Sus scrofa: one gene and its partners. The protein of the gene in region 4 purifies or fractionates together with the protein of the main gene of each other region. This does not show direct contact. Links are inferred from orthologs where the notes say so. Each region holds a gene or a part of one and is shown on either strand. Other genes may lie near its edges.

Region 1 (4,299 bases), on a different chromosome or scaffold from region 4:
TTTCTTCAAAACTTTCCTACACTCCATACTTGAAATGACTTTAAAAGTAAGTACATACTGTAAGAAAATAATTACCCTTTTGTGTCAACAAAGATACATGATTACTTTCAAAAACCGCTTTCTTCTCCTTTGTGGACTACCTCTGGAGGCAACTTTGACCTCTGGCTGGCTTTTAGGTTTGTCTCTGTTTTTGACTTTTTAGGGTGGTGGTGGAGAAGGTCCTTCTGTTAGCCAGTGCATAAGCAACCTTCCCCCTATGAGCATGAGTAACTGGAATCACTCTATTATCTTGTCTATGGTATAGACAAAATTAGCCATGTTACGAACATGCACCTGAGTTTAAAGAAATCCTGTCATGGCTCAGTGGTAAACGAACCCGACTAAGAACCATGAGGTTGAGGGTTCCATCCCTCGCCTTGCTCAGCGGGTTAAGGATCCAGCGCTGCTGTGAGCTGAGGTGTAGGTCGCAGACGAGGCTCGGATCCCACGTTGCTGTGGCTCTGGAGTAGGACGGTGGCTACAGCTCCAATTAGACCCCTAGCCTAGGAACCTCCATATGCCACAGGAGCAGCCTAGAAAAGGCAAAAAGACAAAAAATAAAATAAAATAATAAAATAAAAAATAAAAAAAGTAAAGTTCCTGCCTCCCTTAGGTGGGAAAGGAGTATGATACAAAAGATTGTGGCTAGAACCATTTGGAGTTGCTCAGGAGACCTGGGTTTCCTCTTGGCCACTGACTCCCCGTGAAAACCACGTCTTCTCACGCAGGGGCCTCAGTTTCCCTATGAACCAGATAATCCTTAAGGCATCTTTCAGTTCTAGAAATTCCTGCCTAGCTCTGAAAAGAGTACTGTATGCGAAAGGCTTTGTAAAAGGGGTTATATTCTCCGTTTTATAACAATACTATGGAGGAGAAAAGTCACAATGAATGGGAAGCGATTACATTTAAGTCAGGCAGCTCTAAAGGACAAAATAACCCCTGGGTGAATGGGTTAACAAACTTTTTTTTCTTTAGAAAGCCAGAACAGAGCCATAAAAGGACTCGGTTTTCTCAGTAATCCTGGAAGGAGGCAGTGCAGGACTCTTGTTCCCATTTTACAAATGCGGAAAATGAGATCCCAAAAGCCTAAGTGTCTAGACTCTTTTGCAATCGGCCAGCCATCACCGCCCTGACTTCGCCTCACTTCCCGGTTCAACACAGAGCGTCCCTTCTGAGGTGGCTGTCCTGGGTCAGTCCAGCCCCTAAGGCGGGTCAGGCAAGGCTGCCTTCAGACACACACCACTTCCGGCTCCCGGGGGCTGGAGGGGCTTAGCGCCTTCCACGCAGGTGCTTCCCGAGTCACGAGTTTTATTCGGGGGCCTTCCCCTCCTCCTGCTGATTGGTTAGCACTTGAACCATTTCTGTCCTCTGATTGGTTATTACCTTTTCGGCTCTCCAACACTGCCTATATCAACCGGATATGGGGGTAGGGTTTCCGCTTCCGTCTTCTCCCTCCTCCAGCTTGTCCTCCGGTCGCGTTGCCACCACAGCGGCCGCTGCCGGGCGCGGTTACGGCGGGTCGGTTGGTGTGTCTTTCAGCGTCGATTTCTGTGCAGTTGAACGCCTGCCATGGCTGATTTAGATCCGTTCGGCGCCCCCGCCGGCCCCTCGCTGGGGAACGGAGTGGCCGGCGAGGAGGACCCGGCCGCGGCCTTCTTGGCGCAGCAGGAGAGCGAGATTGCTGGCATCGAGAACGACGAGGCCTTCGCCATCCTGGACGGAGGCGCTCCTGGGCCCCAGCCGCACGGCGAGCCGCCGGGGGGTCCGGGTGAGTGCCGGCGCGTTCGGGGCGGGAGCGGTTGTCCGGAAACTCGGTCCGGAGTGCGTCTGAGAGCTCCGTGTAACTCTTGTTGTTGGCTAACCGGGAGGTTGAGGAGTCAAAGAGGAAACGAGACCCCAGTTCAGTCATGCAGAAACCTGGGCTCGAGAAGCCTAGTCTGTTCTGTGAGTGTGTGTGAACCCTCCTGGGTACAGGCGGAGCCAGAAAGCCAAGAAAAGAAGGTGACAGGCTGAGGAGCCTTAAGAAGCCTGTTCAATTCAGGAACTTTTCATTGAGCACTTGCTTTGACTTGAACCTGGCTTCTGAGGCACAGCCGCATTGGCGCAGTTGGCCAGAGTTAACAGACAAGGCTGAGCTTAACACAGACCAGTTAGCAGGAAGGAAGACGGAAAAAAAGATAAGAATAGTGGTATTGTTTTTGAGACACACAAACAAATTGCAGTGCAATTCAGCACTTAATGTACAGAATATTGGGTTCGAGGGAGGAAAGGAGGAGTGAGTAAGGAATGCAGGAAAGATGGTCTAGCTCTGGAGAGAGAAGAAGAGTTTTGCCATTTGTCGAACGTATTGCGGCTAGGACTTCCGAAGCTCAACTTCCTACGGGAACAGCTTTTGGTAGGAGTGCTGCCTAAACAGAACCTGAGATTAGCCTGGACCAGTCTTCCCAGAGGCGAGTAGAAAATGTGGCGTGGCCTCTCCCCACGCAAACTCCAGCAAAAAGGAGGGAAAGGGAGCACGTGGTAAGCTACCAGTTTGACCTCTGAATGCCTTACCGGTGTGCAGAGTTTAGGATTGTGGTGGTAGGAGGGAGGAAACGAGTGCAAGAGACCTTTTCAATCGTTTAAGGAAGTAGGAAATTCGGTAGAAGAAAGGAGACTTGGCTTTTCATTTGCTTAAAAAAACATTCCAATTAAGGGAGAATAGGGTGCTAGCGGGGCAGATGGGTGTGTTTATACTAAACCCAAACCTTCAGGGGGCCATGCAGGTGACATAAATGAGAGAAACCTGTTGGGAGTGAGATGATGAGGAATTTTGGAAACTGGGGCGTTGGTGCGCTCGATGAGCGGTCTTTGTAAAAGCAGTCAGACTAAGGAGTCTGTCTTCAGCCAGCCAGAACCTTTGGGGAAGTGGGTCTGGGGAGACTGCTAGGTTGCAGCCTGAATTTTTAAACTACACCATGCTGCCTCCAGAGCAAGTCAGTTCCCCCATATGAACTTACAGAACAGGTAATAGGCCAAAAAAGGTAATTTACAGCCGGCATGTTGGGCTGAACTCTAGGCTATGGTGGGAAAACGAAGTTGGCTTTCAGTGATTAGGGTTTCTTAGTTGCTATGGGTGGTCTTCACTGTTTGCCTGAGAATCAAAATTTATTTTAGATCCTTAGTTCATCTCCCCTCATTTGATAGAAAGAAGTATGAGTCCTACAGAGAAATGACTTGCTTAAGAAAAAAGGGCATGTTAACAGCTGAGCTCCAAGTCTCCCTGCCTTAGATTGTACCATATTCTGGTGGCGTTTTTAGGCAGAGGTGGGGTGGGATGAGAGATTGCCATCTCTGAAAGACAGTTGTGGCTGCCCTGATGAGGACAGAGTTGGGAGCATCAGGACTCGCAGAAGGCTGTCCTGATTCAGGACAGTGTTAGCTCTTGCTCGCTTTTGTATCCCCGGTGCCTAGCAGGGTGTCTGGCATGTAGTAGATTCACAGGAATGTGCGAAAATGTCAGGTACAGGGGTCCTGTGTAGAACCAGCAGTTGTTGGTGATGGACAGTTTGGAGAGAGAGAAGGGAAAGAGTAAAGTTGGACATGGATCCCTTGTGCATCGAGCTTTCAGCAAAGGGAAGGAAGGGACGATTGCTGACTTATTTCCTACGAAGGCCTTTCTTAGTAAACTAAGCATTTAGTGACTTAAAGCCAGATCTCTAACAGTGTAATTGAGGTTGGTAATAGTGCAGTGGTCAGAAAAAAAAAAAAATCATGCAGTGGTCAGCACTTCCTTTGGGGAGTAGAGAAGTGGTTAGACATTTTCTTTACCTCTTCTCTCTCTCTCTCTCTCTCAGTCACTCACTCTTGTGGTTAAGATTCTGTGCTGTCCTAGACTGCTTGAATGTGAGTTAAGCTTTGTGGTCTCAGACAATTTATATAACCAACACCACTGCCACTGCCCTGCCTCAGTTTTCTCCTCTGTAAAAGGTGCAGATATAAACCCTCCCGGGGTTGCTAGGATTATGTGAGCACCTGTGAAATGCTTACACACACAACCTGGTGTGTTATTAACACAGTACCTGTTATTCCTTGGGAGTGGGATGAGAAAGGTGTTACAAACCCTATAGGCTTTGGAGTGTAATGAGAAACAGATTTTAGGAGGGATCTCTGTATCTGATGTGTTAGACAGGGATGTATAGGCAGGAGGTTCTAAGTGAGTTTGAGGAGAGAGGAACATATCTAAACTCCAGCCTTACGGAAAACTCCCGTGGAGGACAG
Region 2 (3,830 bases), on a different chromosome or scaffold from region 4:
CCAGGAGACCTGCCCGAAGAGCTGCGCAGCCTGCCCCCCGACACCTTCCTGGGAGCTGCTGCCCGGCTCCACTTCCCTCCTGGCCCCTTCCCCAGCTCTGCAGGACCTGGACCCCACTATCTCTCAGGAGTCTTACCGCCTGGGACCTACTCGGGCCCCACCCAGGTGTTACAGCCCAGAGCCCCCCCGGCCCCTGGGCACCCTGCAGTGGCCATGGCACCTGGACCTCCCCTCTATGCAGCCCCAGCTTTCACCCCAGAGCTGGGCCTTGTGCCCCGATCTTCGCCCCAGCATGGTGTGGTGAGCAGTCCCTATGGGGGGGTGGGCCCACCTCCACCAGTTGCAGGCTTGCCCTCAGCCCCACCCCCCCAGTTCTCAGGCCCTGAGTTGGCCATGGGGGTTCGGCCAGCTACCACCACAGTAGATAGTGTCCAGGCCCCCATCTCCAGCCACACAGCACCACGGCCAACCCCCACCCCTGCTCCTCCCCAGCCCTGCTTCCCCGGACACCCACCACAGCCCCTCCCCATGCCCTATGCCTACCCTGTGGGGGCCAAGCAACCCCTCACAGCACCCCCAGCCCAGCACCACTTTTCTCCTGGGATCCCCACAGGTTTTTCTGTCCCAAGGATTGGGCCTCAGCCTCATCCCACACGAACGGTGTTTGGGCCCCAGCCTCCCCAGCAGCCCCTTCCACTCCAGCATCCACACCTTTTCCCATCTCAGGCGCCAGGACTGGTACCCCCCCAACCCCCCTATCCCTTTGCTCCTCAGCCTGGTGTCCTGGGGCAGCCACCACCCACCCTGCACACCCAGCTCTACTCAGGCCCCTCTCAGGACCCTCTGCCCCCCCACTCAGGGGCACTGCCTTTCCCTAGCCCTGGACCCCCTCAACCTCCCCATCCCACCCTAGCATATGGTCCTGCCCCCTCCCCCAGGCCCATGGGCCCCCAGGCAGCCCCTCTCTCCATTCGAGGCCCTCCACCTGCTGGCCAGCCCACATCCACTCCCAACCTGGTGCCTTCACCTGCCCCATCACCGGGGCCTGGCCCAGTACCTCCTCGGCCCCCTGCATCAGAGCCACCATCATGTCTGCGCCGGGGTGCAGCAGCTGCAGATTTGCTTTCCTCCAGCCCCGAGAGTCAGCATGGAGGCACTCAGCCCCCTGGGGGTGGACAGCCTCTGCTGCAGCCTACAAAGGTGGATGCAGCTGAGGGCCGGCGGCCACAGGCCCTACGGCTGATTGAGCGGGACCCCTATGAGCACCCCGAGAGGCTACAGCAGTTGCAGCAGGAGCTGGAGGCCTTTCGGGGCCAGCTGGGTGATACAGGGTCTCTTGACGCTGTATGGCGGGAGCTGCAAGAAGCACAAGAGCATGATGCCCGTGGCCGTTCCATCGCCATTGCCCGCTGCTACTCCCTGAAGAACCGGCACCAGGACGTCATGCCCTATGACAGCAACCGCGTGGTGCTGCGCTCGGGTAAGGACGACTACATTAACGCCAGCCGCGTGGAGGGGCTCTCGCCGTACTGTCCGCCCTTGGTGGCCACCCAGGCGCCTTTGCCTGGTACAGCTGCTGACTTCTGGCTCATGGTGCACGAGCAGAAAGTGTCAGTCATTGTCATGCTGGTGTCTGAGGCCGAGATGGAGAAGGTGAGACAGGGAGGTCGGGTGGGTGCCCAGCAGGGGCCCTGGAAACATGCCCTAACTGCCTTGTTTGTTCCTCAGCAAAAGGTGGCACGCTACTTCCCTACAGAGAGGGGCCAGCCCATGGTGCATGGAGCCCTGAGCCTGGCCCTGAGCAGTGTCCGCACCACAGAGACCCATGTGGAGCGGGTGCTAAGCCTTCAGTTCCGTGACCAGAGCCTCAAGCGCTCGCTTGTGCACCTCCACTTTCCTACTTGGCCAGAGTTGTGCGTCTGTTGCCCTGGGAGGTGGTCGGGGGCTGGGGGCTGGTGTGGCCTCTCACTGGATCTGGCTCAGAGACAACCCCCCAACCCCCCCCCCCCCCCCTGCAGAGGCCTGCCTGACAGTCCTGGCAACCTGCTCCGCTTCATCCAGGAGGTGCATGCTCATTACCTGCACCAGCGCCCCCTGCACACGCCCATCGTTGTGCACTGCAGGTAAGTGCAGGCAGCTCCTGAGTGGTCTGTCTCTGGGGGCTCTCGGCCTGGCCTTATACCCAATTCCTGTCACAGCTCCGGGGTGGGCCGCACAGGAGCCTTTGCACTGCTCTACGCGGCTGTGCAGGAGGTTGAGGCTGGAAACGGGATCCCTGAGCTGCCTCAGCTGGTGCGGCGCATGCGGCAGCAGAGGAAACACATGCTGCAGGAGAAGGTGGGGACCTGGGCGGGCGGGAGCTGGGACGGGCCCTCTGGCCTGGGCGAGCTCCCCACCCAGCTGACCAGGCCAAACTCGCCTCTGCAGCTGCACCTCAAGTTCTGCCATGAGGCGGTGGTGAGACATGTGGAACAGGTCCTGCAGCGCCATGGCGTGCTCCCTCCATGCAGACCCTCAGCCAGCATCAGTGTCAGCCAGAAGGTGATGGAGGGAGCCCTGGAGTCTGCTGGGGACAGCTCCTGCCTTGTGGACCCCTCTTTACCCATTCTCTCTTCTCAGAATCACCTTCCTCCGGATTCCCAGGACCTGGTCCTCGGTGGGGACGTGCCCATCAGTTCCATCCAGGCCACTATTGCAAAACTCAGTATTCGGCCTTCTGGGGGCTTGGATTCCCCGGCTGCCAGCCTGCCTGGGCCTGTAGAGGCCGCAGGCCTGCCACCAACCAGCCTCCCAGAGTCCACCCAACTTCCATCCTCGTCCCCACCGCCCCTCTCTTCACCCCTGCCTGAGGCTCCCCAGCCTGAGGAGGAACCACCAGTACCAGAAGTCCCCACCCTGGGGCCCCCCTCCTCCTCCCTGGAGCTGCTGGCCTCCCTCACTCCTGAAGCCTTCTCCCTGGACAGCTCCTTGCGGGGAAAGCAGCGAATGAGCAAGCAGAACTTCCTGCAGGCCCATAATGGGCAGGGTCTGCGGGCTGCCCGGCCCACTGATGACCCTCTTAGCCTTCTGGATCCACTCTGGACACTCAACAAGACCTAACAGGCTTTGTCTACCTGGTCCTTACACTACTTCATCTCCCATGCCTGTCTCCCCTCTTGGAGCGAGGCCTAGTCTTACTCCCATTCCTGCTGCCTTCAGCCCTACCTGGCCCGGCCTGTACCTTTGGGGTAAAGATGCATCACAGGTCTTGGGTCAGGTTCTGCTCCTTTGTGGGACCTGACGTTTTTCAGCTCTTTGCTATTGAATAAACAGACCTGTTCTGTGGCCAGTGTCTGCCATTGCTATGCCCACTCTAGGGTGGAGGTGCTGGGATGTGGAATGAGGGCCACCCTGGTTTGCCTAAATGTGAAACAATAAACGAAGGCATCTAGCATGGGCCTGCTGAGCTTCCCCCACCCTGTAAAGGCCCCTGTACGGTTCCTGCTGGGAACAGCTCTGAGCTCAAGGTTTAACCAAGTGCTGCGGTTTGAGTACAGGGATGGAGTTTGTAAATGATGCCAGAGCTCCTCCAGGGGAAGATGCAAGCAGTTCACAAAGCCTCTAGCTGATGTCATTTAAAAAAAGGTTTAATATTACAGTCATGAGGCAGGATAGGACAGTTCAGAGGGCCTACCGGAAGACTCGGCTCTTCCTCCCCTCCCCCCAGCCCAGATCCAGTGCATTGCCCCACAGCCAGAAGGGCAGAGAGGCCCCTGAGCAGCCAGCCAGGGGGCTATGGCTGTTGCTCACTCTCAGTCCAGCTTTTCCAGCACAGAGGGCACATACACCAG
Region 3 (4,185 bases), on a different chromosome or scaffold from region 4:
TATCAGAGAGAGGCGGAGCTAGAAGCAAAGAGAATTGGTAAGAAATTGGAAGAGTGAGGAGGAAGGAGAGAGAGAGGAAAAAATTACGTCATTACTCACAATAAGCTGTATGGACTTCTATTGGTCTGCCAAAGTCTTTTAATTTTAAAAGTCCAAAATGAAGTCAAAGCAGTGAACTGAAATCATGTTCTCCCTGTTCTTATGGTTCTTTTTTTCCAATTTGTTTTGAAATCTACTTTCATATACTTAAGATTTACCTCCTGGCAATCTGGAAATTAAATTTCTGAGATTGCTGTCAATTATTTCCTTTCTTGGTTTCTCTTCCTCTTTCTTACTTCCCTATTTTATTTTGTTTTCAAATAAATTGCATGTTAAAATACCACAACATAACTTGGCTTTTCCTCCAAGAGAACCGTGCAACATCTGAACAACTGAAACTTGTACCTTATCAGATCTTGGAGATTTTGTTAAGTTTTCTCGTTGCTGTTTAGAATGTTGCTGGGGAGGAGCCAGAATGGTAGGGCTTAAAAAAAAAATAAGAAAAAATAAAATAAAATAAAAAAAGGGCAATTCTCCCGTGTAGGACGAGTAGCTTTTTTCAGCAGAGACCTTCATGATTGCAGTCCACTACCATTTCATTTTTTTAAATGAAGCTACTTTTGTTGTCAAGGAAATATATGTTTTCATCTTTAACTTTCCAATATGACTCACAGGTATGTCACTTATAAAAGTAGTAAATCTTAAAGGGCAGAAAAGATGTGGGTTCTACTAAGTAAATACGGTGGCGGCGTGGGGGCCAAAGAAATGAGAAATTTCCATCGCAGACCCCCTGCTCCCCAAAGCAGAAGGGCAAGTCTGTGGCACAGGAAGGTCACTACTGACCTAGGGCAGCCCAGCACCAGCCGACCCGGGGTGGAGCTGAGTCCGCCGCGCTCCCTCCGGTGGGAACAGCGCTGCCTGGCTCCCGCCAGCCCCAGTCGTCAATCGGGGTCCCCCTCTCGGAGCAACTTTCCCTCTCCCTGAACTGATTCCGCTGTGGCCGGACGGCGCGGTCCCCCCACCCAGTCCTGAGAGGTGCTCCGCAGGCGGTGGAAACAATAAGCGCCGCGAAGCAGAAGGTCCTCGGCGGCGGGAGAGAGGAACGTTCGCCATACCCCGGGAGGCCCCTCCGCACGCCGCCGCGCGCCCACCCGGCCCCGGGCCTCCGCGCCGTGGCGCGCCCGCGAGCGCAGGCCGCGCGGCCCCGGGGCCGAGCGCCCCCTCCCGGAGCGCCCATGACCCGCGCCTGCGCCGCTCCCGTCCCGCCCGCGCCCCCGCCCCCTTGGGCGCTCCGTAGCCGTGACGTGCGCGCGGCGGGGCCGGGGACTTGGCTGGGCGCCGGCCGGCGGGCGGAGACGGACCCGGGATCGGTCAGAGCAGGAAGCTAGCCGGAGACCGGGCGCTGTCGCCGCCGTCTCGTCGCTGTGCGGGTCCGCGTCGCCGCGCGCTCCCCTCGCCCTCGTCGCACTCACCCGCTCCCAGCTGCGCCGGCGACAGGTCGCCCAGCCGCCGCGCACCTGCCCTGTCCGCACAGGTGAGTGTCCCTGGGCGCCCAAGGCGGGGCGTCGGCGCCGAGCCTCGCTTCCCCGAACCTCTCTACTCGGAACCCGGCCTTGTTTTGGGTCCCTCTCGGGTCTGCCAGGAGCCGACGGCTCGTCTCAGCTCCTGAGGCCCCGGGTGGGTGAAGCAGGTGATGAGTGGGCCCGGGCGGCGGCGGATCACGGTGGCGCAGGACTGGTTTTCATTTCCACAGGACAATAAGAGTCGCCTTTCATGGGTTTGTCATCACCAAGATACCTTTGTGTATCTTCTCTGGCTCCCAGATAGAAGCAGAGCACTCAGGTGTCCAGCGCTCACCTGGACATTCCGTGATGGTTTTCTCTTTTCTAAATCAGCTTAATATTTGTTGCCAGAATAGTGCTGTTTGTTTTGGGATGTGAGGATCAGCTGCTATCACTAACAGCCTAAGCTCATAGGAGCCCAGGATGGGACTATCTAAAGCTGTAGTTTTAGTCTTTAGTTGGTCCAGTACTTGAGCTATGTTCATTTATGTATCTGCTACCGAACAGGAGCTTTTTATATTTGTTTTTCCAAAACTCTTTAAAATTTCCAAGACTCTTTAAAAAAACGGTTAAAATGCTTAAACGCTGGGAGTGCAAATAGATAATTTGATAGGTTATGACTAGAACATCCATGTCAGAAACATTTCCATACAGTTGCAGAAAACATGTTACATTGTATCTGGCATAAAATTTGTGGTGGAGGAATGCTTAAATTATCCGCGGGTGTAAGGAGCTAGGAACACTGCCCCAATTTAATTGGCTGCAGTACATGGTAAATAAAAGTTTCTCTTGTGTTCTGGTGGTATAAATGCAATTTTATAGCTAAATATCGTCAGGGTTTGAGAGATTTAATAATTACTATTCTTAAGATTTAGCTGAACGCACTTCACACCATAAAATGTGAATCTTGAACTTGAGCTGGCAGTGGTCATGGTACAAAGGTTGGCAGCAAAACGACATTTCTGTACAAATTAACTAAACTTCCTAGTTGTCCTGGATTGTGGTTTTCCATTGGAAATTGTTTAGTGAAAAAATTATCTTTGTGTCTTTTATTATTAACTTTAGAAGCACCACAAATTGGTCTATAGCCAGAGCTTGAAATAAAGCAACCTTGTAAAATAACTCATTGACTTTTTAAATATCCAGCTCATTTTGAGTATTTTCAATTGTGCAGAATTACTTGCCTAGTGGTAACAAAAGTCATTTTATTCCTATGCAGATTTCCTCGGTGCATTTGTATGTTCTCTGTGACATGCTATTTATTTTAGGCTTTTAAAGTTAAATTTTAATTTTCAAAAACTAGTTTTAAAAGGGAATGATGGAAGTGATGACTTTAAGATAAGATTATACTTAAAGCTAAATATATATATAATATATAAAACTATATATCATATATGTATATTCTTCATTGGTGCCTGGAAACATGGACAAAACCTTTAAGAAGCCATTGCAATATTTAATGTAAATTAATATAAGGTCTTAAAAACATCATAAATTGTAACCCACGGGGCTCATCTGAAATGGATTTTTTTCCTCTGTTTATGTTTGTGTGATCAAGTTTTAAAATAACAGTGGTCAGGAAATCTGAGAGAAGCCGAAGGCTCTTTTCTCATCCTGTTGTGACTTTGCCCGGAGACTGTGGTGTATTTTGTAGCCCATTGTTTAGATAACTGGTCTGTCTCTGGGTTCTAAAATACAGCTTTCTCAAGAAAATACAAAAAAAAAAAAAAAAAAAAAGACTGTGAAATTTGGATAAATATAAGCACCCCAGACATTTAAAAAAAATTAACTAATTTTCACTGTCTGTTGATTATTAAAGCCCCATCTCTGATATGTAAAATGTCAGTTTTATAAAGGTGTTTAACCTCTGAATTTTTATTTTTATATATTAAGACATTTTAAATAAATGATTGAAAAAAAGCATGACAACTGTAATAAATCTCATACAGTTTGTGATTCCTATGATGAGATACTTGGTAATAATTTGTAACTGGCCCTTTAGGAGGATGAGCTTGTCACCCATTTGTCAGGCATCTGCCATGATCAGAGCACTGAGGAACTTGCTCTGCAAAATAAGTTTCAAGGTTGGTGGTCTTGTCCTTTTCACACAAGAGGAAATTTAGGCTCTGAGAATTAAATATTTGCTGAAAGTCATGTAGCTTTAGACAGGTGCCTGGGGTCATACCCAAGTCTTCTGACCATGAAACCCCAGTCCTTTTCAGTGGAGTGGGTTGCCTTGATCTCAGCTCATTTGATGGACTGATCAGGTAAACCTGCAGAACTGGTGTTGTGTTAAAGAAACTTGGAGGGTTGAAGGTTCATAGGCCCGAGGTTGAGGAAGGCCAAGAGTGGGACTCTGGAACTGATTTTTTTTTTTTTTTTAAGGGTCACACCGGGCATATGGAGGTTCCAAGGCTAGGGGCTGAATCGGAGCCACAGCCACAGCAATACCTGATCTGAGCCGCGTCTGGGACCTACACCACAGTTCATGGTAATGCCGAATCCTTAACCCACTGAGCAAGGTCAGGAATTGAACCCTCAACCTCATGGTTCCTGGTTGGATTCGTCTCCTCTGCGCCATGAT
Region 4 (3,572 bases):
CATCAGTGAGCAAGGCAAGAGAAAGCAAATAATGTCAATGAAAGAGTGTTTTTTATTTTGCTTAGTCATGTCAGGAATGGACTAAAAAAATAATTCAGTTCCAAAAAGTCATAAGGTCTCATCCTTAATTAGGACGAGTAGCCATACTGAAAAAATTATGTCTTCTCTAAAATACCATGGCAGACTACAAAATATATAGCACATTATATCAAGTAGGCTTAAGACTTATAAACTGGTTTTCAGATACTATAAAAATGATATGCAAGGTTTTTTCCAGGAGTTTTCAAAAAAGTCACAGCTTTATGTCGTAATATATCTAATTTCTAACACCTATTTGTCTTTTTGTTTAAATTCCTTCAATTCAGATCTAAACATCTGAATTGTGTTTTCTATCCTTGTCGTATTGAGAGGCTGGTAGTTGCAATACTTGGTTCGAGGATTCTTACTCTGAAATGTAGGCAGAATTCTACCTCTGTGTAGATGTCTCCTCCCAGCTCAGAGGCTATCAATTACCATATTTTAAACAATCTCTCTCTTGATTTTTAAAAACTACTTAGCATGGAAAAATATTAAGACTTCAGAGCTTCTACTATGGCAATGAGAACGTCAAACTGAGCTTCCAGGGGCAGCAGTGTTAACTCTGGCATCCAGCATTGCAATCACAGCAAGAGCAGGTCCTCAGAGTTCTGTAGCAGGACTTGTGGCTGGGGCCCTGGCTGTTGACATTCTCCCCTAATCCTTCCAATTTTCCAAGTTTGGTTCTAAGCCTTCCTGGCTATTGTAAACTATTCATTATCCTTTCATTAAATTTTTTATGCTCTAATCAACCAGACCTTGTTTCTGTTGTCTGCAACTAAAAACCCTAACATACTAAGTACTTCAATTTGTCCAGGTGAGGAGTTCCCGTCATGGTTCAGTGGTTAACGAATCCGACTAGGAACCATGAGGTTTCAGGTTTGATCCCTGGCCTTGCTCAGTGGGTTAACGATCCGGCGTTGCCATGAGCTGTGGTGTGGGTCGCAGACGCAGCTTGGATCCTACGTTGCTGCGGCTCTGGCTTAGGCTGGCGGCTACAGCTCCGATTCGACCCCTAGCCTGGGAACCTCCATATGCCGCAGGAGTGGCCCTAGAAAAGGCAAACCGCCCCCCCCCAAAAAAGTGTCCAGGTGATTTTGTTTTTAGGGGCCGCACTCGCAGAATGTGGAGGTTCCCAGGCTGGGGTCCAATCCGAGCTGTAGCTGCCAACCTACACCATAGCCACAGCAACGCGGGATCTGAGCTGAGTCTGCGACCTACACACCACAGCACATGACAACACCAGATCCTTAACCCACTGAACGAGGCCAGGGATCGAACCCGCAACCACGTGGTTGCTAGTTGGGTTCCTAACCACTGAGCCACGAAAAGAACTCCTGTCCAGGTGATTTTAATGCATAGTCAGGGTTGAGAAGCTCTGACTTAATAAGGCAATAGTACGGAAATTGCGGTCCACATTTTACCTAGTCACCTAGAGCAGTTAAAATAGACATTATGAGCTCTACTTACTGAATCACTCTCTAAACAGTAGGCACACAAACGTACATCTTAGCCATGGTACTGATTCTTTTTTTTTTTTTTTTTAAGTTTTGTTTTTTAGGGCTGCACCCACGGCATGTGGAGGTTCCCAGGCTAGGGGCTGAAACAAAGCTCTAGCTGCCAGCCTACGCCACAGCCACAGCTATAAAACCTCCAAGCCGAGTCTACAACCTAAACCACAGCTCATGGCAACACTGGATCCTTAACCCACTGAGCGAAGCTAGGGATCGAACCTGAACCCTTATGGATCTTAGTCGGGTTCATTAACCACTGAGCCCGAAATGAACTCCATGGTACTGATTCTTAAGCACAGTTAAAGGTGAAAAGCATCGAGTTAAGGCCTTTGGTAAAGACAATGAAAATAAAGCTTAGTATAAACAGCTGATACAAAAAAATTGTATAAAATAAGGAATATTCATTTCAGACAAGCATCACTACTGAAACAGAATTTAAACAAATTAAGTCACCACAAATCAATGGTAAAAAAATTAACAAGACTTTGAAACTAGATGACAAATCAATTAGAAGCAGAAAGACAGAAGACAATTTCTCATTCAAATAATTTCCAAAGGCAAAACTTACCTTCCCTCCAGCCTGACCCCGTACTGCAAAGCAAAATAAAGTTGATTCTTCTGCATTTCCTTCCATCTTAAACTGTGCAAAGCTAGCTGCATGTCCTTCAATGGGCTGAGACACTTTCCTATCTACAGAATATAGCTGCATAGCTCCCACCACACGATTTTGCTGCAAAAGATCAAACAGAATAAAGTTTGGGGAACCAATGAACCAACTCCCAGATTCATCAACTACTGTAACAACTGGAATGCTTTATTATCTTTAGACAGATTTACAACTCCTGGTTAGTCTCTTAATGTAGATTTGATACCTCTTAATTCATAATTTAGCTGCAAACATTATCTTATTAAAGCTTAACATGAATGTTTAAAATGTGCCTTATATACAACCATCTCTTTACATTACCTTTAAAAAAAAAAAGAAAAAAGATACAGGAATACTCATTCTGCAGTAAATATCCACACTAAATTCCAAATCATTCATACAGGAACTCAATATCCACTCAATATGCAAATAAGACCTAAGAACACCTGGTAAGAATACTCTGAAATATACGTTAGTATACCGGAATTAAGCCAGCAACCTTTAGTTTTTAAAAATGAAAAGAAAGGGGAAAAACATCTTCTAAAATAAGCCAGATTTGCAAAGAAGACCTAATTTCAAAATAAACTACATTCTGGGCACATTAATTCTCTAGACATTTTCTTTATTAGAAACTAAAAATGTTACCTGTGCAGATATGCCAGTCAGAAGTAACCACTTTTGCTTTGCATCAGTACGATAATTGATAATCTGGCACCCTGCAAGGCTAGAATGACGATCAAACATTTTCACTGGCTGAGACTCTCCTTCCATACTCCAATGATAAACTGCATTATCCGTAACAAGAGCAACGGTATTCAAAGAGATCCATTTCCAGAAGGTGACATCATCAGTCATGGTATGGGCTTTCATTTTACTTTTCATTTCAATGTTAAATATCTGAAGAGTTTTCCCAGCTAAAAACAAAAGTAAGATTATGAATCACCAAGAAAGCAAAGTTCAGGATAAATTAATATCTAGTTAGACTAGACTATCTCTGCAACAACTAAACCTGCAACTTCCAAACAAAATGTTTCTATCATGAGACTAATAATCAACTACAGAAGTCACACTGACAGAACAGCAATCACTGAAGGATAGCTGAGAATGAGCAAACAATTGACATCTAAATCTGAGGCAAAACTATCACCTCTAATAAAGACATTTTAAACAGATAGTATGACTTCCAAAGAACTCTAAATCCCAACTAAAAATGAGTCTAAAGAACAGCTCACTTAACAGAAAACAAGTTGCGATCTTCTTACTTAAGGATGCTTACCCATAAACTAAGTTAGTGAGTGATAGTACAGAGAACGAACAAATCAAATCTGATTCAAGCA

The links.
Region 1: the proteins of CLTC (region 4) and CLTA purify together in Homo sapiens (co-immunoprecipitation; 6 studies listed by BioGRID and IntAct, with this or other methods). This does not show direct contact. The link is inferred for Sus scrofa from reciprocal best matches to the Homo sapiens genes CLTC and CLTA.
Region 2: the proteins of CLTC (region 4) and PTPN23 purify together in Homo sapiens (affinity purification with mass spectrometry; 3 studies listed by BioGRID and IntAct, with this or other methods). This does not show direct contact. The link is inferred for Sus scrofa from reciprocal best matches to the Homo sapiens genes CLTC and PTPN23.
Region 3: the proteins of CLTC (region 4) and MYO6 purify together in Homo sapiens (affinity purification with western blotting; 4 studies listed by BioGRID and IntAct, with this or other methods). This does not show direct contact. The link is inferred for Sus scrofa from reciprocal best matches to the Homo sapiens genes CLTC and MYO6.

What each region holds. Positions count from the first base shown.
Region 1 is NC_010443.5:236,970,043-236,974,341, forward strand, and holds the start of CLTA (clathrin light chain A), read left to right. Parts: upstream 1-1,460; 5' UTR 1,461-1,608; coding exon 1,609-1,807; intron 1,808-4,299. UniProt on the Homo sapiens protein: Clathrin is the major protein of the polyhedral coat of coated pits and vesicles.
Region 2 is NC_010455.5:30,249,657-30,253,486, forward strand, and holds the end of PTPN23 (tyrosine-protein phosphatase non-receptor type 23), read left to right. Parts: coding exon 1-1,913; intron 1,914-2,018; coding exon 2,019-2,123; intron 2,124-2,198; coding exon 2,199-2,337; intron 2,338-2,427; coding exon 2,428-3,099; 3' UTR 3,100-3,324; downstream 3,325-3,830. Other genes in the region: SCAP (sterol regulatory element-binding protein cleavage-activating protein), read right to left, coding at 3,792-3,830. UniProt on the Homo sapiens protein: Plays a role in sorting of endocytic ubiquitinated cargos into multivesicular bodies (MVBs) via its interaction with the ESCRT-I complex (endosomal sorting complex required for transport I), and possibly also other ESCRT complexes.
Region 3 is NC_010443.5:90,134,905-90,139,089, reverse strand, and holds the start of MYO6 (unconventional myosin-VI), read left to right. Parts: upstream 1-1,365; 5' UTR 1,366-1,573; intron 1,574-4,185. UniProt on the Homo sapiens protein: Myosins are actin-based motor molecules with ATPase activity. Unconventional myosins serve in intracellular movements. Myosin 6 is a reverse-direction motor protein that moves towards the minus-end of actin filaments.
Region 4 is NC_010454.4:35,873,362-35,876,933, reverse strand, and holds part of CLTC (clathrin heavy chain 1), read right to left. Parts: intron 3,150-3,572; coding exon 2,881-3,149; intron 2,320-2,880; coding exon 2,158-2,319; intron 1-2,157. UniProt on the Homo sapiens protein: Clathrin is the major protein of the polyhedral coat of coated pits and vesicles. Two different adapter protein complexes link the clathrin lattice either to the plasma membrane or to the trans-Golgi network.